Schizosaccharomyces pombe: one gene and its partners. The gene in region 4 interacts genetically with the main gene of each other region. Each region holds a gene or a part of one and is shown on either strand. Other genes may lie near its edges.

Region 1 (7,142 bases), on a different chromosome or scaffold from region 4:
TTTATTGTTCGCAGCGTTGGAGCGACCAAAAAGCGAACTTTCACAATTTGAACCATTCCATGTGCGAAAAAAACAGCATTATGAATTAATTTCGTTCCACTCAACCCTTTTACCATAGCATCATTCGCAAAGACGTGAATGGAAAAAATAATATTAGACGTCTACAAATTGGCAAAAGGACATTGCAGGTCATCAATTATTGAAGAAGGTAAATCGAGTTTTCATCGATTAATGTACTATCATTTATAACAAAAAACTCACAAAGTAACAGTAATATAACTCGTAAACTGGTAAATTGTCAATCGATTGGTTCAGGGAATTAGCGTCTATAAAGTATGAATACAAATGAAAGAAGAATATTTTTGGTAACTTTGAAAAGAGTAAAAATTTGCGTATTATTTAGCTGTCATGCTCCAAAATCTGTAGGTCGATCTTCAACTGAGGAAGTGATCTCCGATTTCCGTGTATCAAAGTGTCAGAAGACTGCTCCTCGCTAGGAATTAATTCAATCGTTTGATTAAAGGGAATTTTCTGCTCGTTACAACGACGTTTTAATAGTTCAACTAGACTTACTAGTTTTACAGTAGCATCTCCTTCAGCCACAAAAGAAACTTGTTTTTCTTTGACAAAAGAATCCCACAACTTTAAAGAAAGTTGCTTAGCATTTATACTTTTCTCTATTATCATAGTTTATAAGCAAAAGCCTGCATGGCGTTTAGTAGGCTAATAACGTGGTAGTTAGACAGGTGCTCCCAAACATTAATTAATAAATTACATAGTTGAAACAACATTTTACTGCCTTGTAAAAAGATGTATGATTTTAATCTTAAAGCAAAGGTATATGATATAACAAATTTAAAATCTTTTTCGCTATTTTTATTGTAAGTACCTCAGTTTCTTGCTAGTCTTAGAGAGTTCAAGCAAAGTAAAGCTCGATCAAGCTAATACTGACACGATTCAACGTCCTTTGTAACCTTTGGAAAAAGGACGAACACGAATCGTATACACACCAAAATGCTTATAAAATACGAACATGTTACAGAGCGCTCACAAATGTCTGAATTTTAAGAAACGTAACTATCGTAGATTGCATATAATAGGAATAAGTAGAAAAGAAGAGTAGATAGTAAAGTTAGTAAATTGCAAAGTTAAAGGCAATTTGCATCTAAGGCAAAAACTGGTACCAGGGGATAAAAAGAGGGAATGAAACAAAGAGGTCTTTGAAGATGATCATGATTGGAACAGTTTCGATAATATGGTAATTAAATGGAGATCCACATAATGCTCAATACTACGTCAATAGCCTCACCGCTCTCTTTGATAGTAGTCATTCCATCCTTTTCACAATTCCAGCAAGCAGCGTGAGCTGCGTGAACGCCTCTAGAAGGATGATCTTCGGGAAGCTTTTGTACAAGAGTGGAACTAACAATCCATTTGTAAGACTGGGTTTCCTTATTCAAAGCATTTAATACGGCATACTAAATGAGACATAAAGTTAGCTACCATACATAGATATTTGTAAAATAAAATGAACTTACAATAACAGATTGATTCATTTCAGCTGTTTTGTCTCCGTCATATTCGGAAGCCTTCAAAACCGGCTGAGCAGCTTCTAGGCAAATTTCTTCAAGTTTTTTGGAATCTATAGGCTATTTTCATAATCAAATTAGTAAACGAATCGCGTATTTGACGACTTACACAGCTCATTTCGAAATGGGGTATTTTGATGAGTACAAGGAGGGTACGCAGTGAGATAAAGACACCCACAGCTAGTACGACGTTTAACGGTGACAACCCCATCGATACAAAGTTCAACGCGAACATAACTCACGTTAACATTTCTTTTTATTGTTGATTTCTTTTTGCTTTAAACCTGAAGTTAAGTAAGGATTTTTCGCTTACAGCGAATCGTCAACTTCACGTTGGGATGAATGAGATAATTCAAATAAAGCATCAAGTATTGCTTTAAAGGAAAACAGCGTTTATTTCTATTTCTTACATTCTTTAATTAATACCAATTTGAAAACAGTTGATGGTTGAAACATCGATAATTGATTTCGAAAGAAATGCATAATGATTTTGGAAACCATGTCTTCCTCTAACCGTAATAATTGTATCGAAAAAACTCATAATTACACATAATTACTGGTGTTTGGATTACCAAAAGACATTAATGTGTGCTTTACGCTTTTAACAATACTCTTAGCAAGTCCAGTTTCAGTAATGAATTGAGTGTGTTTCTTTGAAGACGGGCCGAAGGAAAAAACAACAATTTAAATTCTCTGAACTTAAAGTGTATAGAATCTGTTTTTAGTTATCGAAATGTTAATTCAGCATGAAGGGAAAGCGATTGTTTTGCTGTTCATAGAATCCAAGTATCAATGTAGCGAAATCATCCAAATCTTTAACTATTTGATCATTGAATAAAACTACAAGATAATTTATGTTTAGTATTCCTACCATTAGTTCTTTCAATAATTTTACAAAAATGGAGAAGATCTCATCGGTACTGCGATACATAAAGATGCTACTACCCAAAGATTTTAAATCAATGATCCTTTCAATCCCCTAACCCTTTTATCCTTTTCCTTTTTTTTCTTTCCTATAGATTATTTACTGACTTTTATTTACAGGGACATTCTGTGATATAACGGTATTATAACTTGTTTAATTGTTATATAAATGTAAACGTTATTGCCGAAAACCATGTATAAAGTGCGTTATTCTAAAACTGTATATAGAATATAATAACATACTGCGCGAAATTTAATTGTGAGATCGAACAATTCAGTAACTGAGTATTTGGAGTAATAGTGAATTTTTGCGAAGGAAAATACTCGATTACCATGTAAACAAGGGTTTGATGTATGTTAAAAAGTTGTTAATTAGAAATGGATAATAGCCACTCTATTATAATTTGTTCTAAAAAAGTTGGGTATTCTTTAACGACCCGTTGGAACCGATCATTGAAGAAACTTCAATAGTGGATGAGACATTTTATGAATTTTTAAATTAGTCAAATACGGTTCAAATTTTAGAAAACATACGTGGAAGTTGCATCCTGTCTAGAATAAAAAATTCATTTCCTTATGTATCGGAACGTTGACAATCTTGTTGACCAAAAGAATATACTATCGAACCCAAATCTTAAAAGTCTTTTAAGCCCATTATACCTTGTGTAAAAAAAAATAAAAATAAAAATAAAAGAAGAAATAGTAGAGAATATGCACAGTTTTGATCCTCTTTAAAACTTTAGAGGGATGAAGCAATGCATACTTACTTAGTAAAATATGGATATAATAAGCTAGCTAAACTTGACCCATTATTTGAGTAATTATATTCACTATTCAACATAGTTTCCTAAATTCATTATTACTTTAAATTAATGAACTAACTAATTTATTAAAGATGAAAACAAATGGTTAAAATTGAGTAAAATCAATCATTATATTTTTTGTTAGTCTCTATTATCAACCTCTTTATTAGTAATACATTCCGAGATATAAAATTCCAGAAACGGAAATTATTTGTTTTAAACGTATAATTACAAAACCGAAATCGCCTTATATGGTGTAGGAGATAAATCTAGTAAATTTCGTACCTTCTTCTACAAACATTTGGCGTGAACATGCTTCAAGCAAGGATTGAGGAAAAGCAAAAGGAATACGAACTAATATGCAAACTAAGAGATTCTTCTAATGATATGGTTCAACAAATAGAAACGCTTGCTGCTAAATTGGAAACTTTAACAGATGGAAGTGAAGGTATGTTCATTACGAGGAAAGTATATAAAAGAGCCTTGTCACCAATCTGTTTAAGTGCTATTCATGTGAACAAGTATAAATATCATTACATTGAGAAAAGCAAAGAAACAAGTGAATTGATTGGATCTGCAGGATTGCAAATAAAAGCAATCATTTGCCGACATGTCTCTAAATGAACTTCTACCTCTCAATAATTCACCTAAACGTAAAAAATATAATCTGTTTATTTATTTATTTTTTCTATTTTCACTACTACTCATACATGCTTGACGACTCTTTTTAATCCATTATAATAAATGTTTGACACTCAAATCACTAACAAAATCAGCTGTTGCTACTGTTCTCAATAATTGGCCCAGCATTTTTGAGTCAATACAGATAGCATCCCAACATTCAGGAGCTTTAGTCCGAATTCCTCCTTCTACTTCAAATACCAACGCATCTGCTACGGAGCAAGGCGATGTTGAAGAGGTATAAAGACTTAAATACTCTTTTTAATTTCTCACTGAAGTAGAAAAGGCCAAGAATTGGTTAAAATAAATATTATTGTTCTGTCCATTTATTCATATTGTTTCTTCTATTTCAGAATTGGTAAAGCCGACAGCAAACCCAAGTTCCAAGTATCTTCACTTCCTAATGAAATGGAGAATGAGATCACCTTGTAAACTAAATGATATCTAAATTTTTCATTTGGTCATTTTCTTTTGGCGTTCGTCCTGTTTCGCTTGTTTGAATACTCCCAGCATTCCCTTACGACAATTAATTTCTTCAAGGACAAACAATTTATTCAGGAGTGATACTATTGTTATGTAATCAACAAATATCGTGGTCCGATGCCCGATTTTTTAAAAAAAAGTTAAACTTATTTATCTTAACCTTCGCCAACCTCTCGCCATCTGCCACTTACCTTTTTAAAAATATTTCTTAGGAAATCTTGTTGATCTTCCGCTAGAACTTTTTTAAATAACCAATAAAAGGCGCTTTTGCTGGTCCATTAGTTCCATTTGTCACAAATCTGCTTTTTTTACGCAGTTTTACATCTTTAGGAAAAATCAAATAAATTTTGTCAGTTAGTATTTAATATGCCTGTTGATATCAGTTCTCTTTTGCATGCTGGGTATTCAAACCCGTTGCTTCGTGAATGGCAAGGTGTACGTCCCATTACCAAGTCATCTCTAATGTATCCTATCTTCATTTCCGAAATAGATGATGCTAAGGAAGCCATTGATAGCATGCCTAATCAATTTAGATGGGGTGTTAATAGATTGGAAGAGTTTTTGGGTCCTCTCGTCAAAAAAGGTCTTCGTAGTGTAATTCTGTTTGGTGTCATCGAGTCCAAAAAGGACTATTGTGGTAGCATGGCCGATTCCGAAAATGGACCAGTTATTAAAGCCGTTAAAGAAATTCGTCACCTTTTTCCGGAGCTGGTTGTTGCTTGTGATGTTTGTCTCTGCGAGTATACTGATCACGGCCACTGTGGTCTGTTATATGAAGATGGCACTATCAATAATGCTAAATCCGTTGAGAGAATTGCTGAAGTTAGTGGAAATTATGCCTTGGCAGGCGCTCAAATAATTTCTCCTAGTGACTGCATGGACGGTCGTGTTAAGGCGATTAAGCAGAAACTTGTAGAGTTGGAACTGTCTCATAAAGTATGCGTTATTTCCTATTCTGCAAAGTTCGCTTCTGGTTTTTTTGGTCCTTTCAGAGCTGCTGCTAATGGTGCCCCAAAATTTGGTGATCGCAGCTGTTATCAACTTCCCTGTAATGCACGTGGCTTGGCCAAAAGAGCAATTCTTCGCGATGTTAGAGAGGGTGCTGATGGTATTATGGTAAAACCGGGAACACCTTATCTCGATATTTTGGCAATGGCTTCTAAGCTAGCAGATGACCTTCCTATTGCTACTTATCAAGTTTCAGGCGAATTCGCCATTATTCATGCTGCTGCTGCCGCTGGCGTATTTGAATTAAAAAGACATGTGATGGAAACCATGGATGGCTTTATGCGTGCTGGCGCTAACATAGTTTTGACTTACTTTACTCCTGAATTATTGGAATGGCTAGAATATTAAACAAAAAATAATGCGAAATCAATCATCTTCAAAATTATCATGATTGAAAAATTATTTTGTTTATATTCTTTAATGGTCTAGAGTTTCACTTATGAAATTGTTTTTCGAATCTGCGATTACCGGTTCTTGTTTATTAAAAATTTTCGTTTATAATCTGTAGCAGTTATTTACGAAAGAAATTGTTTTTCTTTCTTTTAAAATACTTTAAATTCGTGTGTAGAACAAGATTTTATCTTAGACAACCGTAGGTTGCCAAATTATCGTGATATCCTATTGACTCCTTTTGCAAGCGATGAACGGACATGTTAAAAATTTAATATTTAATTTATATAATTTGATAGATTTGTCTCAATACTTCATGGCAGTTAGAATAAAGTAAAGTACATTATCCACGTTTACTGACTATAACTTTCTAGCATGATAAGATAAATTAAATATTCACTATACTTCACCCAAAGTAATTGGAGCATGTTCTTCTCAAACATCTTTTACCTTATGAGTCAACATTTGGTAGCTCAGTGAAGCTTCTGACTATTTATGTATATATCGATATAACTTACAATGAAAAAGTATGACAGCTGCAAATGATTCAAAAGTAAAATGCAACGACAAGGAACATGCTTCTACGCTCTTCAATTGCATATGATGCATAATGCATTGGAGTAATAATATGAATCTATGTATATAAGGTAGGACAACAATTAGTACTAATTAGAATCAAAATCTTCATCCTCAACACGTTCAAAAATTTCAAAATCAAAAAGAATGCCAACAAACACAGAATCTCATCTAGTGAGCATTTTTTTTTTGAACAACAGTAAGCAATGTAATTTAAGCAGCCGGGATTAACGTCACATTACGATTCCGGAAGAATTAATTTAAAGAAGGAATCGTATGGACGTATTATGTTGCAAATTGTAAGCGGATATTTAATAATGGGAAAAAAATAAAAAAAGTATCGACATAACAGTGAAAGACAAGAAGGAAAGACGTTGAATAATCATGACTATTCTTGTTTCGATATGCAGCAAGACAGTAAGCGAAGATGGAACTTCTTTCGTGATTTCTCTTTCGAGGGCGCAGGCTTAGCAGCTTGTTGAGTGTCTACCTGTGTAGGCTGGGTAGTCTGAGGAGCAGGTTGCTCCACCCGTTGCGGTTGCTGCTGTTGAGCGGAAGAAGTTTGCTGTTGTTGTTGAACTTGGGGAGAAGCCGCTTTCCCTGGTATACCATCTTTCTGCGTCGCAACACTGGCATCAACCACGTTATTGACTGGAGTTTGCTTACTTGGGCTAGAGAGCAAATTCTG
Region 2 (9,255 bases), 2.6 Mb from region 4:
GTTCTCACTAATTCATATATATCCCTAACCATCTAATTAGCACATATGATAAACAACAAATGCGTACGACTCTAGCTGTAACTTGGAAACTTCAAGCATGTGTTCATTCAACCAGTCCATGGTTTCAGATACAAGGAAGAAGAATTCTTTCATTTTTCCATTAGTGAGTTGTTGGGAGTATTCCAACTCCTTATTAAACCATAGTTCTGACCCATTAGAGCCCATCCTGTTTGGTTACATATAAAGAATGAGCTAGTTGCTGGAGAGTGGTCGGTGGTGGAAGCAATCAAATGTCAACAATATACAACAGTAGTTGTATACCTAAGCTTCCAACTAAATTTATAAACAATTATGCTTTCCCAATTTACAAATGATCAAAAGGTTTATTGTTTTCAAGATTTAAATGTAAATATCAAGTTCCGATGTTATAAACAATTGTTAGGAATATAGACATCGGTTAACGACGAAGAGGTTTTTAACGAAGTAACACTTTAAGCCATACATTTTTTCGAGATGCCGATGCTGATTTTATTGCAGTAATTATTGAGTGGAATAAGCAACCCAATGCATGCAACCTATCGTTCGTTTGATCAGCAGACAGAGTTAACTAGTTTGTGTTCAAATATCTTTCACCATTTGTTTATGTTTAGTATATAGCAAGCGGCACAGACATAAAAGTTTCTATTGAACGGCTACAAGCAATTTGTCATGCTTTATACGCTTGTCATTTATTGGATTTTTTTAATGATTCGATCTACAATATTCACGCATTTTCTCCATTTTTTGTTCACATACTTGCCATAGCTTTTAAAAATAATTTTTCCAATCAGACAGAGATAAATGCCAAATATCATACACTTGTCTTTAAGTTTTCAAGAATGTATTAAAACATGGGTAACCATTCTCAAAAAATTAAAAGCTTATTCAATACAAAATTCACCGTTCTCTTTTCATTTTGAGCTATTTTAACTCAATTAGACTTTTCATTCCTTACTCTGTTTTAGAGGACAATGTAAAGAGAATAGGGTAATAAATATGCTTTTATAATTGACAGTCTGTTATTATTCTTTTTAGCAATTTAAATATTTTTCTGAATTCCTAAAATTTCTTTAATTAATTAAATAAATAATATATACTTTTTTGTCTGACAGATCAAAAAAGGAAGGGTGTCCGAGTGGTTATGGAGCTAGTTTAAGGCACTAGTGCGAAAGCTCGTGGGTTCGAGTCCCACCCCTTTCAGTAATTTTTTATTGCATTTTATAGCAAAACAGGGGAGTGTGAATTTGGCAAGCTGTTAGTTTCTATAGGGAATTTATAACTGCGAACTAAGTTTTCTTACTTGCAATGGCTATATATGGGAGGCCGAATTGCTTGAAAAACATAGCTTTGCATTTGAAACAATTCGCAAAAGTTGGCACTAAGGAAGAAGTTAAGATAAAAAAAATTCAGTTACTTTGGTTTTATGATTTGCAATTAAATTACAGTGATCGCAGAAAGATAGCAGCATTACGAAGACATGTTCAACTGCTACATAACACTTGCTATTGTTAAAGTTTTCGAAATAGTTACTGCCCGTTACATGTAAAGAACAGATAAAAAATAAATTAGAATTACTGTCTTCTCAAATGCTTAAATATTACTACTATGAAATTGTTATATAAACAAAATGTAGCGTTGCAAAGTATTACAGTAAACTTCGTTGTGCTGCATTATTAGTATTGTCCGGGACTTACTGATTCCACGACCTGTAACTAAATTGCTATAATCTCAGACTGTTAGCTTGGGATTGCCTGGAAATTGACAGGATGAGTGTGAGGAAGAATTCTCCTGCAAGCCCAAAGCCAACTTCCCGTTCTAGGGAGAGTTCCAGGTCTCCGTCAGTGACTGATTTGAAAGGTAAATGGAAATTCAAAGCAAAACTTGACTGACCACCATTTTTAATAGACCATTCCAAAGCTAAACGAACATTATGTAGAAATATCTTACTTTATGGATCCTGTAAGCATTCAGAAAATGGATGTGCTTTTCGACATGATGGTGTAAGTATAGGCGTATTCTCTTAACTTCAGAGAAGCTTCTTGCTTACGATTGTTTGTAGCCTTTCATCCCTTCTTCAGAGAATTTGGAGCAATACTCAGTGTATGATTTTTTTTAAGGCTTTGTACGTATAATTAACCTCGCTAGTAAGAAAAAACTGAATGCTGCGTCGGCCTCTTTTCAACCTGTTCGCGCTTTACCAGTAAAGGCTGCTGGCGCTGCAGTATTTGTTCCTAAATCACAAGAAAAATCTCTTTTTCTATCTAGAGAGCGTACCCCTGTTGCGCTTTCACCAGGTAGTCATGTATGTCTGGCTAACAGCTTATATTTTTCTTACTAATTTTACTGTAATTTTAGGCTATTAATCCTTACAATAATGCATCTATGTTGGTCAATGAGCCTTTTCATGATGACTCTGGGGTTTATTATACTCGTCAAAACCAGTTTAAACCCGTAAGTCTAAAGCCTTATTATTGTTGTTGACAACAACAGACATTGTACAATTTATATAATCCGCAACCTTCTCCCATGCCAACTTTACTTCCTTATGAAAGAACTGTAAACGGTCTATTTATTGATGATACGACTAGAGAAAGAATCGAGAGAAAGAGCGAGGCATCCCGTCAGACAATTTCAGGTACTTAATTTGTGTCTAGCTTCCTTTATACTAATATTTTAGCGCTTCCGTCTATTATATCTTCATATACTTCTTTGGCGCCACTGAATACAAAGCTTTATCGGTATAAAGAGCAAATTGGATTCTCTTCTTGGACGTACAAATGCACTTCTTCCATCGATGGGAATGCTTACGTTTTGAAACGACTCCAAGGTAACCTTCAGATTCATAAATTGCAATTGCTAATATATTTAAAAGACTGTTCAATTAATATTGATACGTCGACTGTCGACAAGCTTAAAAATGTTTTTCATCCAAATATCGTACCATTCCATTCTGCTTTTCATACTGATACATTTCATGATTCTTGTAAGTTTATTTTACTAAACCTTACTAATTAATCAAGCGTTACTATTAATTTATGATTTTTATCCGTGTACTACAACCCTTGGTGAGCTCTACCTAAACAATTCTAAAAATTCTGTCAAGTTGGAGGAAAATAGAAAAATTCCAGAACGAGAGTTATGGAATTATTTTTTCCAGCTTACTATCGCTTTGTCATATCTACATAAATCCGGGTTTGCTTGCAACAAGCTTACTCCGTCGAGAATCCTTGTGGATCAAACTGAAAGGTATTTTTTTTTGAACATTTTTTATGTTTTGATGGAATACATTTCTTTAATTCATTAATGACTTATACTAACGTGTAAAGGATTCGTATTAGTGGTTGCGCTGACTATGAATTGGTAGTGTCAAACAAGCCTCCATTAGAGGAACGAAAGAAGCAGGATTTTGTAGATCTTGGAGTTGTGATTGCGAATTTAGCTACTGGAAGAACTGATATGGACATGTCTTCAGCCGCACGAGCAATTTATAGTACATATTCGAGGGAATTTTATAAAGCGGTTTTATACTTTGTATCGGAAGTTCCTGAGGATAAAAACTTGGAGTTGTTTTTGCAAAATCACATAGAAAGTTTTTTCCCTATAATGAGTTCACCATACGTGGAATGCGAAAAAATGGAGAGAAAAATTTCGGACGCTTTCCAACACGGTCGATTTTTTAATATTTTGTGCAAGATTATGTTTATTATTGATAATAATAGAGCTTCTCGTGAATATCCTATCGCACGAGAAAAAGAAATTTCATTAATCTACTTATTACGAGATTATCTTTTCCATCAGATAGATGAAGATGAGTGTCCTGTGATAGATTTATATCAAGTGCTGAATCGCCTGGGAAAGGTAAGTTTTTTACATTTTTCTCATTATTGCATTTATTAATTCATTAGCTTGATGCCGGTATAAATCAAGCCATCGCATTAATTTCCCGAGATGAACTTGATTGTGTTTCAGTTTCTTATGGGGAGGTAAGTATTTGCTCAAAAAGCCATAGTGGGTGCTTAGTAAATTAGACTACTTTTCCACACTATATAGCCTGTTTGTTTGCAAAATTACTAACAATAACAAATGTAGCTAAAAGCTTGGTTGGACAACGTTTACGAAATGGAAATAAATTCTTAAAATAAAACATTTTTCTTTACAGAATATTTATTTGTTTTTTTGTATCTATTACCATGGTTGTTAATTTAAGTAAATAATAGTTTTCGCTATAATAATATTAGAAGGAAGCTAAGCTTAATGTGGTTTTGAATTACCTACTGCAACACACCGTATTGAAACAAAAACGATCAGGAATAGAAGCCTGACACTTATCAGATAAAATTCATTAATACGTTTTCCTGGTTTAATTATTAATTACGGAAACTCCCATGCTTGTTAAGGTACATACAGACGGTTAATCATAAACTTCTTAGAGGAGAGAGTTTAGCAGTTGTCCTCAAAAAATGGCAAACCCTTTCGTTCGAAATCAATCTTTTAAATCAGTATTTTTTAAAAATTTAGTCGGAATTACCCTATGGGTACCCGTATTAATGTTCGTTGAACAACATGTAGTCAGCGTCGGTACAATTGAAGGTAGATCTATGAAACCAGCCTTTAACCCTGAGACAAACATGCTGCAGAGAGATAGGGTACTACTTTGGAAATGGAATAAGGATTACAAAAGAGGAGATGTAGTTATACTACGGTAAGTTCTTGGATCGTTGCAGGGTCTTTCGGTACTGAGTTTCCCTTTTTATCGTTACTAATAAGCAACAAGCTCTCCAGAAAACCCAGAGGAACTATTGGTAAAAAGAGTTCTAGGAGTAGAATACGATATCATGAAAACGAGACCTCCTAAAAAGTTGTCATTAGTACCCGTTCCCGAGGGACATGTGTGGGTCGAAGGCGATGAACAATTTCATTCTATGTAGGTTTCCAACAATTGTTTTTTTACTTTTTCGTTTTCTTCTATAGAGATATTAACTAGTTTACAGTGATAGTAACAAATTTGGCCCAGTATCGACAGGACTCATCACTGCCAAAGTGATTGCAATTTTGTTTCCCTTCTCTCGTGCAGGGCGTATTGATCATGAAGGTTTCCGAAAGAATGCAGTGTTTTTAAGTGGAAAACGTTCTGTTAAGTAAGCTGCACCACAGTGAACCTGTTTCCTTGACAGTTTAGTTCCATGCTGGTTGGTGCTTATTTACATTTCTTTTAAGGAACACGTTATCCTTAAATTTAATTTATTTCGACGCGTCGCGTTCTATATATGACGTCATTAATATGTCTATCTATTTACCTATTTGAAAAAGATGGAAGTTGGAAGCTACTTTGTATTAGAAATACCAATAAAAAAATATAATTTTTTCATACTCAACATCAAAACTTTTATTTAGGGAAAATTAGAATTGACTGAAAAATCCGTCTCTTTTGCATATCCCGAAACAGTAAAGTCGTTGAGTATAGCAAAGTTGGAAATTTTTCAACAGGGTATTTGAAATGAGAAAGAATTCCATTTCTAAGTAGCCTTTAAATAAAACCCCCAGAAGAAACGAACATTGAAGTAGTCCTTTGTTTTCCTTAGGAAGCCTCATATATCGTTACTTCGAATACGGTCTAACGCCGTACCAAATGTATACAGCTGCGTGAACCTTCCCAGAGCGAATTTGTGTATAACACGAAATCCGAAAAAATTACTTCTATTTATTTGAAAAAGAAAGGAATTCACAATCTCTTAAACAAACCAAGTGGTGAGGAGCTCGAGTCTTCTTTCATGGTCAGTTCAGCACCCTTATTTTCGAGAAAAACGTGCTGCCCTTTATAAAAAATTCGATATTTTTTCGGCATTTTTTATTTTAATATACTATAATGGCTTCAGCCAATTTTATTCGCCAGTTTGAGCTGGGGAACGATTCTTTTTCATACCAAAAACGCCCAGAGGATGAGCCATCACAACCCCTTTCAAACAGAAATATAAACAAACTAAACGATTCATCTACTTTAAAAGACTCTAGTTCAAGGATTTTTATTAACTCCCAAGTTTTACGTGATGGCCGACCCGTAGAATTGTATGCTGTCGAATGTTCAGGCATGAAATATATGGAGCTTAGCTGTGGGGATAATGTTGCTCTTCGAAGATGTCCAGATTCTTACTTTAATATCTCTCAAATACTTCGACTTGCTGGTACTTCGTCATCTGAAAACGCCAAAGAATTGGATGATATTATCGAGAGTGGGGACTATGAGAATGTTGACTCCAAACACCCTCAAATAGATGGAGTATGGGTTCCATATGATCGAGCAATTTCTATAGCAAAGCGATATGGGGTTTATGAAATTTTACAACCATTAATTTCTTTTAATCTTGATTTATTCCCCAAATTTTCAAAGCAGCAACAAATCGAAAGTTCTTCAATCTCCAAAAATTTAAATACTTCTTCTTTTAATACGCGATCCCCTTTGAGGAATCATAATTTTTCAAACCCTAGCAAGTCTTCAAAGAATGGGGTGCACACTATAAACAATATGCAGAGTTCACCTTCACCTTCTTCCTCTTTCTTACTACCTTTAACTCAAATTGATAGCCAAAATGTTAAACGCTCTAACAATTACCTCTCCACCTCTCCACCTATCCTTGAACAGCGTTTAAAACGGCATAGAATTGATGTCAGTGATGAAGACTTACATCCCTCCTCACAGTTAAATGATAATGAGGCCTCTTCATTGTTTCCAGATACGCCAAGGTTGAACCATTCACTTTCTTTTGTATCCTTGGTTTCTAGTCTTCCTCCACTTGATCAGAATATTATGCAGGATTATCATACATCAAAAGACATTTTGACCTCTATCTTTTTAGATGTAAACTTTGCTGATTCCAGCGCCTTAGAAGCAAAGCTGTCGGACTCATTAGATTTGGATGTCCCCATTGACGAACTTGGACACGCCGCTCTGCACTGGGCAGCAGCCGTTGCCAAAATGCCTTTGTTACAAGCCTTAATACATAAAGGAGCTAATCCTTTACGTGGCAACCTCACAGGAGAAACGGCATTAATGAGATCGGTTTTGGTAACCAATCATCTCAATCAGAACTCTTTTGGTGATTTACTAGACTTGCTTTACGCATCTCTTCCCTGTACAGATCGAGCTGGACGGACCGTCGTTCATCACATTTGTCTTACTGCAGGTATAAAAGGCCGAGGTTCAGCATCGAGATATTACTTAGAAACCTTATTAAATTGGGCAAAGAAACATGCAAGTGGTAACAACGGATATATGCTGAAAGACTTCATAAACTATTTAAATCATCAAGATAAAAATGGGGATACAGCTTTAAATATCGCAGCAAGAATTGGAAATAAGAACATTGTTGAAGTTTTAATGCAAGCCGGAGCTTCCGCTTATATTCCTAATCGTGCAGGGTTAAGCGTAGCAAATTTTGGAATTTTTGTTGAAAACGCATTAAAACAACCCGAAGACTCAAAACAAACAAAAGTTTCCCTTATGAGTGAAAATCTGTCCAGCAAAGAAAAGACTGCTGTCCCTCCTCGTCAAAAGAGTAGAGACATTATCGCCTCTGTGACCGATGTAATATCTTCTCTGGATAAAGATTTTCAGGATGAAATGGCTGCAAAACAGTCTATGATTGACTCAGCCTACACCCAATTGCGTGAATCTACAAAAAAGCTGTCCGATCTTCGTGAACAACTACACGTGTCCGAGACGCAAAGAACTTTGTTTCTTGAATTAAGGCAACGTTGTAAAAATCTTATGACTTCGATCGAAGAACAGAAAAGTGAATTAAGTAATCTTTATGAATCTTTTGATCCCAATGGAATACACGATTCATTATCATTGGATGCTGACGCTCCTTTTACTGTCAATGAAAACAACAACAAAAATTTATCTATTGCTGAATTGAAGTTTCAAGTTGCTGCTTATGAGAGAAATGAAGCCAGATTAAACGAATTAGCGAACAAACTTTGGCAACGAAATTCCAACATAAAATCAAAGTGCCGTCGGGTTGTTTCCCTATGCACCGGTGTCGATGAATCTCGAGTGGATTCATTATTGGAAAGTTTGTTACAAGCCGTGGAAAGTGACGGTCAACAGGGAGAAGTAGATATGGGTCGAGTTGCTGGATTCTTACGTGTTGTTAAAGAACATCAAGCATAATATTGCTTTTTGTGGTTTACCACTAAAGTGTCCTGAAATAATTAACTACTTTAATTTTTTTCTTAATATAGAATCCTACCAAATGAATAAAACGTAATTTATTATATGTTAATAATCTTGGCTATTGGAAATTAGTTAAATTTTCATTAAGCTTTTCGAAATATGTTTTTTGCTCTATAGCTAAATTTCCCGATACGCCGCTAAGAACAGTCGAAATGAGGGTATAATTATTGGACAAAAACCTACTTTGTCTCCTTTTGTCATTAACTGTTTTACACAGGTTTTGTAACATGCTCACATAATCCTGAGCTAGTCTTGAAGCACTTCGTGCAACAGGCTCGGCTTCTACGACATTAACACTTAGCATCGAAAGGCTATAAAGTAGTTCAGCTACTCGCTGCGAAAGTGGATGAGGTCGCGAAGTGATTTCTTCTGGCTTCACAGATAAGTTAGTTTTACGGAGTGACTCACAGTGCATGTCCATGACAGCTTGAAAGCGAGGCCACAGAAAAAGAATCATGGAGTTATAGTGTGGCTCAATAACAGGCACTATATTAGTTTGCGCCTGTAAAGCTAATTTTTGAGTAAAACGAATGGACTTCAAAATACCTATGCAATCGATACTGCTTGATATCAATCCTGTAATGTATTTGCGTGAAAAATGTAAAGTTTTTTCAAAGATAGCGGCAAAAACGGTAGCCTGCTGATCTTTAGAGAGGTTAAAGTACTCCAGCAAAAAAGCATATTCAGAAGAGACGTGTTCCGTCAAGACTAATTCCCATGAGCAATAAACACGTTCAATATATTGTGGGGAAGATTCAATATGATGCATTGTAGATGCTGTCAACACAGAGTTCATATCAAAATCCTGAGGGCGCAAGTTTACTGAGAGCATTTGATTCCCGTAAGATTGTTGTGCTCCTTTGGAAAGGTTGAAGAGTCCTTTCCGATCCTCTTCAACGCGAATAGTTTCTCCCTTAAGGACATGAACTTTGTCCAAAAACCTAGAGTACTGTTCGAAGTGGTATAGATAAAACCAATTCATC
Region 3 (8,029 bases), on a different chromosome or scaffold from region 4:
CATGAGCTTTTGGTCATTGAGGCTTTCGCTGACCTCATCAATTCTGTTCCTGTTGAAGAAATTGCCGAAGAGTTTTCTCGCTTTTTAGACACTCTTGGTATTGAATACTATGGTAACATTCCTGTACATATTCAAGAAAATGCCCCAAAGGATTCATCAATTCCCCCCCTATTTGAATTCGACGATGATTTGGAGTTGAGTGATCTCACTCCTGAACAATTTGCCTACCTTGAAATGCTCAAGGCTGAAGGTATTGATCCTATGACTGCTTTCCGTGACCAGAGTCATCCTGCTAAGCCATCTAATGCTCAACCTGCTGATTCTTCACGTCCCTACGCTGTTTTTTCACAAGAAGAGAATGGTGAACATGTAAATTTAAAGGCTTTCCCTGATCACACTCTTCGCGTTAAAGATTCCAAACCTGAATCACTTGGTATTGACACTGTTAAGCAATACACCGGTTACTTAGATGTCGAAGATGACAGACATCTTTTCTTCTGGTTCTTTGAATCTAGAAATGATCCCGAGAATGATCCCGTCGTGTTGTGGTTGAACGGTGGTCCTGGTTGCTCTTCCCTTACTGGTTTGTTCATGGAATTAGGTCCTTCTTCAATCAACATTGAGACTCTTAAACCCGAATATAACCCTCACAGTTGGAACTCCAATGCTTCAGTTATCTTTTTGGATCAACCTATCAACACGGGTTTCAGCAACGGAGATGACTCGGTTCTTGACACTGTTACGGCTGGTAAGGATGTTTATGCATTCTTGAACCTTTTCTTTGCCAAGTTCCCTCAGTACGCTCATTTGGACTTTCACATTGCTGGTGAATCCTATGCTGGCCATTACATCCCCCAGTTTGCCAAGGAAATTATGGAGCATAACCAAGGTGCTAACTTCTTTGTTGCCAGCGGCTATGAAATGGAGAAGCAATACATCAATTTGAAGAGTGTCTTGATTGGAAATGGTTTGACTGATCCTTTGGTCCAATACTACTTTTACGGAAAAATGGCTTGCGAGAGCCCTTACGGTCCTATTATGTCCCAAGAGGAATGTGATCGCATTACTGGTGCCTATGATACCTGCGCTAAGCTAATCACTGGCTGTTACCAGACTGGCTTTACTCCTGTTTGCATTGGTGCCTCTTTGTATTGCAATAACGCTATGATTGGACCATTTACTAAGACTGGACTCAACATTTATGATATTCGTGAAGAATGCCGTGACCAAGAGCACTTATGCTACCCCGAAACCGGTGCAATTGAGAGTTACTTGAACCAAGAATTTGTTCAAGAAGCTTTGGGAGTTGAATACGATTACAAGGGATGCAATACTGAAGTAAACATTGGTTTCCTTTTCAAGGGTGACTGGATGCGTAAGACTTTCCGTGACGATGTCACCGCAATCTTAGAAGCTGGCCTACCCGTTCTTATCTATGCCGGTGATGCTGACTACATTTGCAATTACATGGGCAATGAAGCTTGGACCGACGCACTTGAGTGGGCTGGTCAACGTGAGTTTTATGAGGCCGAATTGAAGCCTTGGAGTCCTAATGGAAAGGAAGCTGGTCGTGGTAAGTCTTTCAAAAACTTTGGTTATCTTCGCCTCTACGAAGCTGGACACATGGTTCCTTTCAACCAACCCGAAGCTAGTTTAGAAATGTTGAACAGCTGGATAGATGGTTCTCTTTTTGCTTAAAGTGTCATCAGTTGGACATTTTACATCTACTGAATAGTTGATATGAACCGAATATGACTGACTATTGGCTAATATACAGTAGCCATAATTAATCTTTGCGTTTTATTAATTAAATTGATTTTAATATTTGAAAGATATAATGATGAATTACATAAATATTTGTTTTTGTAGTAGTAGTAAGTAACGCTGTTGGAAAACTTTTCACTGTAAGTATTTCTTCAATTCTCGCGGTTTGTGTCGTAATAGTAACAACATAGTTATAATTCCCGACCAATATTACTACGCCGATAATTACTGCATACAAAAATTTTTGGTTTAAGATGTAAACAGTCGATTGTAATTGAAATAGATTGTCCATAACTAAGTGCTTCGTAATAAAAATTATCTTGATCACATAAAAGTATTACTCATCCATGTGCTTCATAAATGTACGCTTGTGATGTTGAACACCTAAGGTACCAAGTTCGTCAATGTCAGCCTTGTCTAGAGTGAAAGAATCAAAATTCAAGCACTCCTTCATACGCTCAATTTTTGAGGTAGTAGTGATAGGTATAACGCCTTTAGAATAGGCCCACTTGAGAAGAATTTGAGTATCAGAAACATGGTACTTGCTCTCCAATGATTTAGTGAATTCAGCAACAGGACCTTGCGCATCACGAACCAAGGGAGAAAGAGGGCCATAACCCTCAACGATAATTCCTTTACTCTGGCAAAATTCTACAAGAGGCTTCGCGGCCTTGTATACTTGAGGGTGAAATTCGATTTGGTTGACACGAGGAGTAATAGTTGAAGTTTTCAACAGCTCCTCTAAGTCGGGAATACGAAAGTTAGAAACACCAACTGAGTGGACAAGACCGGTTCCCAAAGCCGTTTCCATTGCTTTCCAACCTTCAGAAATGGGTATTTTCTTTTCATAGAAAGGAATAGGACTATGCAAAAGGTACAGGTCCAAATAGTCAGTACCAAGCTTACGTAAAGATTCGTTGAGGGCTTCAGGAATGTTATCGACATTATGCATAACCTTGGAAGTAATAAAGAGTTTGCTTCTTGGAACATTAGCTTCCTTCAAAGCCACCCCAACTTCCTCTTCGTTGCCATATACTTCCGCGCAGTCGATATGAATGAAACCAGCAGCAAGTGCATTCTTTACCGAATCTACAATGGTTCGATTGATTTCTCCCTTTTCTTTCTTAAACAAAGCTGTACCAACCCCATAAGCAGGGACGGGAATCTTAGGGCCCATAGCAGCGATAAGCATGTTGAAAATGTTAAGAGTACGAAAGAACTTGAAAGTAGAAAAAGAGTAAGCTACAAAGAGGCGCTACTTTAAAAGTTGCAGGATAAAAATTGTTAAATAGAAATGAATGGAATAAACGTTAAACCGAGATTTTTGCAAGCAAAAGAAAAGAGAATCGCAGCAAGAATTAATAAATTTCTTCTTTAAAAATGCTCTGTTTAGGTGAAAAGAGTGCGAGAAAGGGCCGTATATCGCTATTTATATAGATTTCCAAAAACTTAGTCAGATGACATCAGCCAAGTCTGGCTTGGCATACAGAATATCTGACTGACGTTGTGCAGCATCTAAGAGAGGAGTCTTTGGAACTTTAAAATGAAGAATTATCTGATCAGATAAGGAACAAACGTGTAACCAAAAGCAGATTTGTTCCAACTAAACAGTGTAAGTTGAATAGAAAACAGTTTTACAGGCAAGAATAAGTTGAACGTTAGATTCGGTATTTAATTGATTTAGCAATATTCAATTCTTGAATGAATCCCTCTGTTTTAGCTGCGAGGATTATCTTCACCACCAGATGAGTTGGCGGTTTTTACAGCATATTCTTACCTATAATGTTAATAAATGTAAGGTAGTTACCATTAAGCTGTAGCGTTATAATAGCAATGCTTTAATCATAAACAATGCTTACTCAGTTTTGCTAGATCATTTTTTACTATAGTCTTTATCGGCAAGAAATTGAGGAAACTCCTTCAAGGCATGATGATCGTAATCATTTAAGAAGTCTTTGACATGTATTATGCATCTAAATGTCAGAGGTTGAGAAAAAAACAAATAAACAAATCTGAAAGTGTCAGGAAAATGACTTGGCAATAATTCAAGCTTATTCATGTTAACCAACGTCAATAGTAATGGTTAATAACTCGACGTCCGCTTAACAAACACTAGGGTAAATTTACCTGCAACTTGTAATTGAGGAATTCTAAACGCATTCCCCACAAGCTAGTTTCTGTTAACAAATATTTTTATAGATTTTGTCTAAAATCTATTTTCTGGTTAAATAATCAGTAAATTGCTACACTTTTATTCACAAGAAAACAAATTTTTAAAATAAAAATTTATTAGTGAAATCCTATATGATGATTTAAGTTACCCTAATACTCAAAAAAGGAAGGTTGTCCGAGTGGTTATGGAGCTAGTTTAAGGCACTAGTGCGAAAGCTCGTGGGTTCGAGTCCCACACCTTTCATTACGATCTTTTTAATAAATTTTTTTACATTTTATAAACAAATGTAAAATGACCCTTAAATATAGTTAAAACATATATATTGTGGATATCTCTATTCATCTTCTTCCTAAATTTTTCGTCTCGGCGTTGCATATTTGGTCAACAAAAACTATTCAGCGCTCTTATGATATGGAGATGCTTCTACAAGAAAATCATTTCGCACTACAAACAGATGGGGTGGTAAAAACAATTAAAAATTCGAATTATATTTAAAAGACAGATAAAAGGAAAAATAAAATAGCAACCTTAGACTCAAATTATATAGCCGATAGTCAAGATAATATTATTAAGTTCGACTTAACAAGGTAAAGTTTGAAAACTTGTTCAAAAGAAACCAGAAAATAGTATTAATAGAAAAGAAGAAAGACAAGACAATTTCAATGTGGGATACAAGATGCTTTAGCGAGTGGATCAATCAAATTAAATCAAATTTGATGTTTCTGCAATTCAAATATAATACACAGCTTTAAGGCACTATAATAAGGCCTAGTTAAAGTCAGAGAGAAAATGGGGGAAAATTGCTTAGTGATTTCAAGGGTAAAGAGAGGAGAAAAAATTTGGAAAGCAATTAAAAAAGAAAAGAAAAATACAACAAGATTTATATAGCACACAAAATTATTGATAGTTAAAAAGGACCAAAGAAACTTTTAACACCTTGAAAGCAATTTAGCAGCTAAATGATTCAAACGCAATCACAATCTACTTAGCCTTAGTGCTGATCTTTCCCTGTTCGTTGAAAAGAGGTCCCTCAGTTCCAAAAACACGGTCCCAAAACCAGCTGGTGATACCATAGGCAGACTTGTAATCCTTGTAGTGATGGTCCAAATGCCAGGTCTTCAAATCAGTCAAGTAAGCATTGGGCATACGACGGTGATGTAAGAAATAGTGGGTAAGATCGTAGAAAACGTAACCAAGAATGGCACCAGAGAAACCAGCAACACCAATGTAGTGAGGAAGAACAAGTTGAATAAAGTGATACCAGGGAGTGGCAAAGATAAGGAACAAAGCAGGAGGCATTACAAGACGGTACTTGTCAGCAGGTAAGAAGTGGTGGCAACCGTGGAATGCGAAGTGCATAGTCAAGAAAATAGGATGATCAGGGGTGTACTCATCCAAGTGGAAGAGGAAACGATGCATAGTATATTCAACCAAAGTCCAGGTGAATAATCCAATGATGAAGAAGGTGATAGCAACAGAGAAGGGAATTCCGGTACAGGCGTACAAGAATCCATAAGTGACACAGGGAACCCAAATCAATGGAATCATATACCAAGGGGTCTTGGTAAGAGGCTCCAAAAAGTTTCCAAACAAAGGAGCAGAACCGCTGCCACGGTAATGACGGGGACGGTGAACTTGGTCCAAATAAACATCCTTCTTGATGTTACCAAACAAAATTTGGGGCAATAAAGGCTTCTTGAGGTCAAGGAAATGGTTCTTCTCGAAATCCTTGTCAAGATCGGTAGGCTTGACAATGAATTCATTGCCATAACCGACACCAATGTTCTGGTCGACAAGATCACTGAATTCCTTATTCTTCAAAGGAACCTTAGCACTTTTCAAGATCTCAACAACAGCTTCAGAGTGCTTGGACTTGGAGGTAGCATTAAGGATATCAGCAACCTCTTGGCGGTGATAGCGACGAAGCAAGTCAGCAGCGTCCTTGTTGGCAACCAAGTAGTTGGTGACTAATGGAATGTTAGTATAAAGAACGATACATGTATTTTGGTGTAACTAAGGCAAAGGGGGAAAGGTGAAAAAAAGTTAAAAGCACAACGAACAAAGAAAAAAGATAAGAAATGGCACATCTCCCACAATGGATCTTTTGCCAATAAGCCTTTGCTATATGCGTTTTCATTGTTTTTTATACATTGCCTCTCAAACACTCTGTTGCCGAGAAAAAATTTTAGTCCTTCAACCAAATCTCCTTCTCAAAACCCAAACACCCTGCCATTTCTCCTTGTTTAAATACTTACCATCGTATTCAGTGCCGTCAGAAAGGATAACACACTTTTCACTAGTAACAGAGGCCATTTTGGAGATGGGAGTATGAATTGTTAATTCGTGATAAAACTGTAGCAAGCGTGTTTCTGATGAGTTTGATAAACAAATACAGTAAATATTACAACGTAGCAACTGATCCTATGATTCTTTACTTGGATTTTTGTCCAATTGATCAAAATGTCAGTTCTTTGTTTGTGTTGCGTTAATGGCACGATGTTGTGGCGTGGATGCAGTAGCCTATATATGTCGCAGGAAAGGGCAAAAAGGCATTGCGGGGCGAACCAAAAAATCGTGCTATTTTTGATCGACTTTTCCGAAAAATGGTAAGACAACGGAAAACAATATTTACCGTATCGCAAAACGGGTTCCGAAACTGAACACCAGAAAATTGCACTCAAGGGCCTATACACAGGGAAAGAACAGACGAGTGAAGTGCTTTACAGATACAATTCATTGATTTATTCATAGTAGACTAAAAATTATTATTTGCGAAAAAATACTTGAAAAGAGAAAACCTTAAGTTGATCGAAATTTATTAACTTTTCGTGATTTACTTTTCGTTGGTTTGGTTAGGTATAATTTTGTTTTCCTTCCTTTCCGTTTCTTTGCTTCTTATTGTCGGTAATTGTTTTTAGCTTGGAATTTCCTTATTCCGCTATTCCTCGCTTTCTTTTTTGTTTGTACTAAAATTTCTCTCATCTTTTATCGCTTAGGCAGTAGAATATTCCACTTTTTTTTCCACCGAAAGAAAGAGGACAAAATAGCTCAAAAGAGTACTCATTATTAATATTTTTTAACAAAACAATTCGTGTTAGAAGCGACGAAAGCTACTAGACTGACAAAACTCCATTTTTACTAGCTTACTTAGTTTTCCAGTCGAAGTCTGTTCCGATCCTGTCAGAGTTTGTTGTATTGAAAACGAAAATAAACGAACGTATTTTCCACGCATAGATAAACAGATCTAATCTAAATGCAGCTGGACGCGGAAGCCTTGGCTGAGGCTCCTTTTCGTAAGCAAGAAGTGGTACGTTTACAATTTTTTTCCTTCCTTCCCGCCTTTTCCCTTTGTTTTTTTGTCTTCCCGTGTTTATTGTTTTTACTAACCCTTTTCCTAGCCGCAAAATCAAGAAAATCAGCAAAAGGCATCTTCTTCTTTTCATGAATCCTCACTCACCTCTTCCACTCATAGTCATCCCTCTAACCCTCCTCCACCGCCTACACGGTTGCATGATCGCTCTTTCAAACCCGTGTCTAAAAATTACGAAAGTGAAGGTCGTCTAACTCCTCCTCCCGTTTCAATGGGTTATCGGTACGCCAGATCTTCCAAACAATCTTTTCAACGAGAGGATAGCGGTTATAACGATGATGTAGTTACAAATTCCTCAAGTCATCGCACCCCAAGACACCATAGGAGATCATATAGTCCAAGGTCCGATTATGGTAGTCGCTCTCCCTCTCCTCACTCTTCTGTAGATTCTCATCAAAGTAGATCACCCGTTCGTTCTCGCGATCGCGATCGCAGTTCAAGGTCAAGTCGAAGCCGCCATCCCTCAAGTCGTAGTCGCCATCGATACGATGATTATTCACGCAGCCCTCCTTACTCTTCGCGGCATAGTCGTAGTCGTCGCCGCTATGAAGAACGCTCCTCTCGTTCTTCTAGAGCCCATGATTATGATTATGAGGACTTGAGGGATGATGACCGTTCACATGAGCGTAAGAGAAGTCGTTCCCGTCCTCGTGAACGCTCCTCTAAACTTTCAGAGGAAGAGCGTGATCGCCGTACTGTGTTCGTTTCTCAACTCGCAAATC
Region 4 (4,179 bases):
TAGACTTGCAGTATATTCAATTTTGAAAGCACATACATCATCATTTATCTGGCCGTAAATTTTTATTTTCTCAGCCAACAGTTCATACTGCTGCAATCCAAGTTTTGCGTTTTTAGAAACTGCCAACTGGCCTTCAATATTCACACTAGCACCATATGATAGCCTTGATAATAAATTAATGTTAGTAGGAAAAAGATATCATATAATTTAGATTTTATGTCTCCTCCTCAACCATACTTCTTACTCTGTTCAGGCGAAGTCACCACTTGAAGGGCTTGTTGACATGTACCATCAGAAACCATGGCAAAACAAACATTTTTTAGTTTTCGGATAGATCGTACCCAGCCGTTTATGCTTATTAACTCTCCATTATGTGGGTGATGCCATAAAGACTTTAAAGTTTTTGGTAGTTGGAATTTATTCATACGGAATTAGCAAACAATTCAATTTTAATTATTAATTTACAAAAAATCCTCTATTGCTAAGGAAATTATGAATTCTTCCAAAAACTATTCGCCAATAACTAGAAATGCAAAGAGCGGTAGTAGTAAGGCGACTTTACATATCCTCAGTATGAAGGTGTTGCGTTAAGAATTAAGTCATTTTAATAAGGACTTGTAAAAAGATACAAAGTTACTTAAGTAAGTTAAAACAAATTTTTTCGTTCAAAAAATTGTAAGGACGTCAATTGGAGAATCCAGAAAGTACCACTTTAAAGTCATCAATGGCTGACTTCGTGGCTTCTAGAAGAGGAAGATTGTCGTAACTTGGTATCATTTTTTTCAAATTTATAAATTGAAACAACATCTGATCGCGTGTCCATCGTCCATTAGCTTCTTTTACGATATTTTCCCAATGAATTTTACCACCATTGTTCAATAACGAGTCGTAAATCCTTAAATTAAAATATTAGCAAGCAAGAGAAATTATGTAGGTCAATACTTACCTTTCTAAGAGCCAAACGTTTTCTTGAAGTTCAAATTTTGAAGCAGCCTTCGTCAATTGCTGAAATTTATAACGACACTGTAAACGAGTCCTAGTACCTAACATTTGGGCAACAAGCGTCCAATTAATGTCAGAACTTAAGTCTTCACGGTTACGGAGTTCAGCAACTATTTGCAATAACTGAGTTTCCTCTTCCAACGACCAAGCATTTCGTTTCAATTTATCGCCAAAACGTACTACGTCGCGCCAACGATCACGACAATCATTAGGCATTCGAGCCATTTTACGACCAATTTTCGTCCAGCATTTACCATGTTCAACAACATTTCTAAACGTTAATGATTTTTGAATAAAAATATAAACACATACTTTCTTAATTCTTCATCTTCTTCTTTGCTCCACACACAGCGATCTTCAAACGGGTTATATGCACGTCGTACATGGTGATAAATACTCTTGGCATCACGATGGGAAAGCTTTTTATATAAATTAGAGTAAAACATTCTGATTGTTTTTGGACATTTTCCTGCCCAAATTTGATTGCAAAATTGATACTCGGACCATCCTTGATCCATAATAAAATTATGTACTTCTTGGGAAATAATGGCAGTTTCCTGGACCCCGAAATCCCCTCTTCCAGAAGAATTTTTTCTACTATATTTCTCATAACCTGGGATGTTGTAAAGGGCCCGGAGGTGCCGTAATATTGTTCTTCTGGTAAAACTAGGCATTTCTTGAACCAATAATTTAACTAAAGAAGAGAGTGGCCCGTGAAGTCTTTTTTCGTGTAGAGAATCGGCTACCTGTGTATGGTCTAATGAATAGGTTTGACAGAAGTTTTGCATTCGTCGTTCTAAATAGTCCCAATGTTCCGCAGTCCATCTAGCACTACCTTTCAAAAATGGATCCATATTGGTAATTTCCGAAGGGCTTATTAAAATAGAATCATTTGTTTGATTCGAAGTAGAGTTTCTCATGGCATTCACACCTTTGTTAACTTTTGACAAGAAGGCGCTCGAATCCACATTATCATTTCCTAAAGCTATAGAAGAGGAGGCTAAAGCATCCAAATGAATGGATGTATTTTGTTCAGAAAGGTTGGAGTCTTGGGCTTGAAGAGACATTAAGGCCTCGAAATTGCGATCATTTTTACCATCTTCTTTAATGCTTAACGCGGGAGAAAACTTAGGCTCTATTGATCCAGAATAGTCATTGTTATTTGTTTTCAATCCTTTGTTAAGTGGAAAATCATCAAAATCATTCTTTCGTTTCCTTGATGATTGCAAAGAATCCACGCCAATAAATCCATGAATCTGAAGTTCCGGATTTAATACGGAGGTATCCATAAAGATTATATTTTTGAAGTACTATAATTGAGTAATCACTTCAACTTATCAATCGCTAATATCGTACAAAACGCTTCGTGAGCTTTAATTCGCAGTTTGCTAGCACAGCGATTTAGGAAGGGTGGGACACAAACTGAGGAGTGTAAATCTGAAATAAAGATGGTTTGTTATTAAGGGATATATCGACACGCTGCATTTCCTTATAGGCAATGCTAAGTAGTACAACGAAAACATTAATGATATACAAAAAATGTTGTTTTTGCTTACCACTTAGTACAAAAAAACTCATATTTATTATCGTCCTAAAATATGAAATTGTACTATTAATCAAATAAACAAGAAATGCAGAAATATACCAATAGTATTTAATTGGAAAAATTAGTAGCATACGAAGATTTGTCTTTAAAAATGAATATCCCAAAAGAAATACAGAAATAGTTAGGAATAAATCAATTGAAATGAGAATGAGGAGAAAATTTTTTTTGTACTCACATACATGGTAAAAAGTATTTGCATTCGATAGTAGTTGGAATTTTTTTGAACGAATCTATAGCACTATTTACTCTGTTACAAAACAACTAAAATAAATGTTTAATTAATTGAACATTTTGAAGAAATTGGGTTCTTGGCAATAAGTTTACAAGACCGGGATCTGATGATCATAATAAACATTCAGAAAACAATGGGTTTGGCACATCGTGGTCAACTGATCATTGTTGTTGTTTTTCTATGAACATCATATTTTAGGAGTTCTCTTACCATAACATCACCTTTTGCTGGTTGATGACTATAATATTGTTATTGAGATATTTTTTATCAACAGTTTGTTTTGATGAGTGCATTTGTTTAGTTTAAACGGTAGCATTAGGTAATACGGCGATCACAGGATAGCTTTATTTTTAGCAGTTATACAGAGTATTTAGCAAATGTTTGTTTACTGCAGTCATTATAGCTCATAATTAGCATTTTTTCAAGCCACCTGGTTTCATAATTCTGTAGCAATGTCTTGCAGACGGGCAGAAAAAAGCACTCAGTAAAAACAAATAAAGCATGGAAGGTATTTATTCACGAAATAGGAATCTCAACATTTCCCTTCCATCCCGACTAACTTCAACTTATAAAGAATTGGTTGACAATGGGAGACCGATTCATTCCCATTCGCAACGTTAGCAATGAGTTCAACTTTAGTTTCCAGTCATTCAAAGAATGTGTGTTAAGCCATGGATCAAATCTTAGGCGCAAAACCTCTGGCACTAGTATGTACCTTTTTTAGTTTTATATTCCCATTACTAACGACAGCAGTTCAAAGGCAATTCATGGAGCTACTAAGCATGGAGCTCTTCGGTTCACAAGCATCTCGCTCTAGAGCCTTCTATTATGGAGAAGACAAAAGGAAAATTGAGAAGAAAATGTTGGATACACCTGATAGAAAATCATATTCTCTATCTCCTATTTCACCGCAATCTCAAGATATGTTGCGGCAACCACAAAAGCCCAAAAGAGCTTTTCCAAAAACTCCATATAAAATCTTGGATGCACCTTACTTAAAAAATGACTTTTATTTAAACTTGCTTGACTGGGGCCAATCTAATGTCTTGGCAGTCGGACTAGCAAGCAGCATTTATCTCTGGTCAGCAGCAAGTGGTAAAGTGGTTCAATTACATGATTTCGGAGCAACAAATCATGTCACAAGCGTCTTATGGACAGGTAAAGGAACTCAATTAGCTGTAGGGACAGATTCAGGAGTAATTTACATCTGGGATATCGAGTCTACGAAATCAGTCAGATCTTTAAAAGGTCACTCCGAAAGGGTGGCAGCATTAGCATGGAACGATAATACCCTCACAAGTGGAGGCAAAGACGAAGTAATTTTACATCATGACCTAAG

The links.
Region 1: mutations in reb1 (region 4) and dad2 together harm fitness more than expected from each alone (negative genetic interaction), as found in Schizosaccharomyces pombe (2 studies listed by BioGRID).
Region 2: mutations in reb1 (region 4) and cdc10 are lethal when combined (synthetic lethality), as found in Schizosaccharomyces pombe (2 studies listed by BioGRID, with this or other methods).
Region 3: mutations in reb1 (region 4) and scs7 together harm fitness less than expected from each alone (positive genetic interaction), as found in Schizosaccharomyces pombe (2 studies listed by BioGRID).

The regions. Positions count from the first base shown.
Region 1 is NC_003424.3:2,782,635-2,789,776, reverse strand, and holds dad2 (DASH complex subunit Dad2), read left to right. Parts: upstream 1-3,484; 5' UTR 3,485-3,628; coding exon 3,629-3,764; exon of another isoform or gene 3,765-3,795; intron 3,796-4,092; coding exon 4,093-4,241; 3' UTR 4,242-4,618; downstream 4,619-7,142. Other genes in the region: protein Pop6, read right to left, coding at 400-687; dynein light chain Dlc1, read right to left, coding at 1,263-1,478, 1,539-1,649, 1,699-1,707; porphobilinogen synthase Hem2, read left to right, coding at 4,847-5,836; serine/threonine protein kinase (CK1 family) Cki3, read right to left, coding at 6,843-7,142. UniProt on the Schizosaccharomyces pombe protein: Component of the DASH complex that connects microtubules with kinetochores and couples microtubule depolymerisation to chromosome movement; it is involved in retrieving kinetochores to the spindle poles before their re-orientation on the spindle in early mitosis and allows microtubule depolymerization to pull chromosomes apart and resist detachment during anaphase.
Region 2 is NC_003423.3:2,760,241-2,769,495, reverse strand, and holds cdc10 (DNA-binding transcription factor, MBF transcription factor complex subunit Cdc10), read left to right. Parts: upstream 1-5,695; 5' UTR 5,696-5,905; coding exon 5,906-8,209; 3' UTR 8,210-8,330; downstream 8,331-9,255. Other genes in the region: INCENP-like protein Pic1, read right to left, coding at 1-24, 68-225; PAN complex subunit Ppk26, read left to right, coding at 1,806-1,896, 1,945-2,039, 2,099-2,139, 2,185-2,341, 2,395-2,490, 2,530-2,674, 2,717-2,866, 2,912-3,022 and 4 more; mmp2 (endopeptidase catalytic subunit), read left to right, coding at 4,500-4,741, 4,814-4,963, 5,031-5,181; GARP complex subunit Vps52, read right to left, coding at 8,331-9,255. UniProt on the Schizosaccharomyces pombe protein: Major component of the cell cycle transcription factor complex MBF (MCB binding factor, also known as DSC1), that controls G1-S phase specific gene expression. Involved in the control of rRNA production, via interaction with pol5.
Region 3 is NC_003424.3:4,055,179-4,063,207, reverse strand, and holds scs7 (ER sphingosine hydroxylase Scs7), read right to left. Parts: upstream 6,433-8,029; 5' UTR 6,251-6,432; coding exon 6,193-6,250; intron 6,173-6,192; exon of another isoform or gene 5,905-6,172; coding exon 4,919-5,904; 3' UTR 4,393-4,918; downstream 1-4,392. Other genes in the region: cpy1 (vacuolar carboxypeptidase Y), read left to right, coding at 1-1,698; SPOM_SPAC19G12.09 (NADH/NADPH-dependent indole-3-acetaldehyde reductase AKR3C2), read right to left, coding at 2,102-2,956; RNA-binding protein Rsd1, read left to right, coding at 7,191-7,244, 7,336-8,029. UniProt on the Schizosaccharomyces pombe protein: Ceramide hydroxylase involved in the hydroxylation of sphingolipid-associated very long chain fatty acids. Postulated to hydroxylate the very long chain fatty acid of dihydroceramides and phytoceramides at C-2.
Region 4 is NC_003423.3:191,252-195,430, forward strand, and holds reb1 (RNA polymerase I transcription termination factor/ RNA polymerase II transcription factor Reb1), read right to left. Parts: upstream 2,359-4,179; 5' UTR 2,292-2,358; coding exon 1,315-2,291; exon of another isoform or gene 1,274-1,314; coding exon 947-1,273; intron 896-946; coding exon 685-895; 3' UTR 501-684; downstream 1-500. Other genes in the region: asparagine--tRNA (Asn) ligase Slm5, read right to left, coding at 37-163, 238-425; ubiquitin ligase Mfr1, read left to right, coding at 3,427-3,547, 3,594-4,179.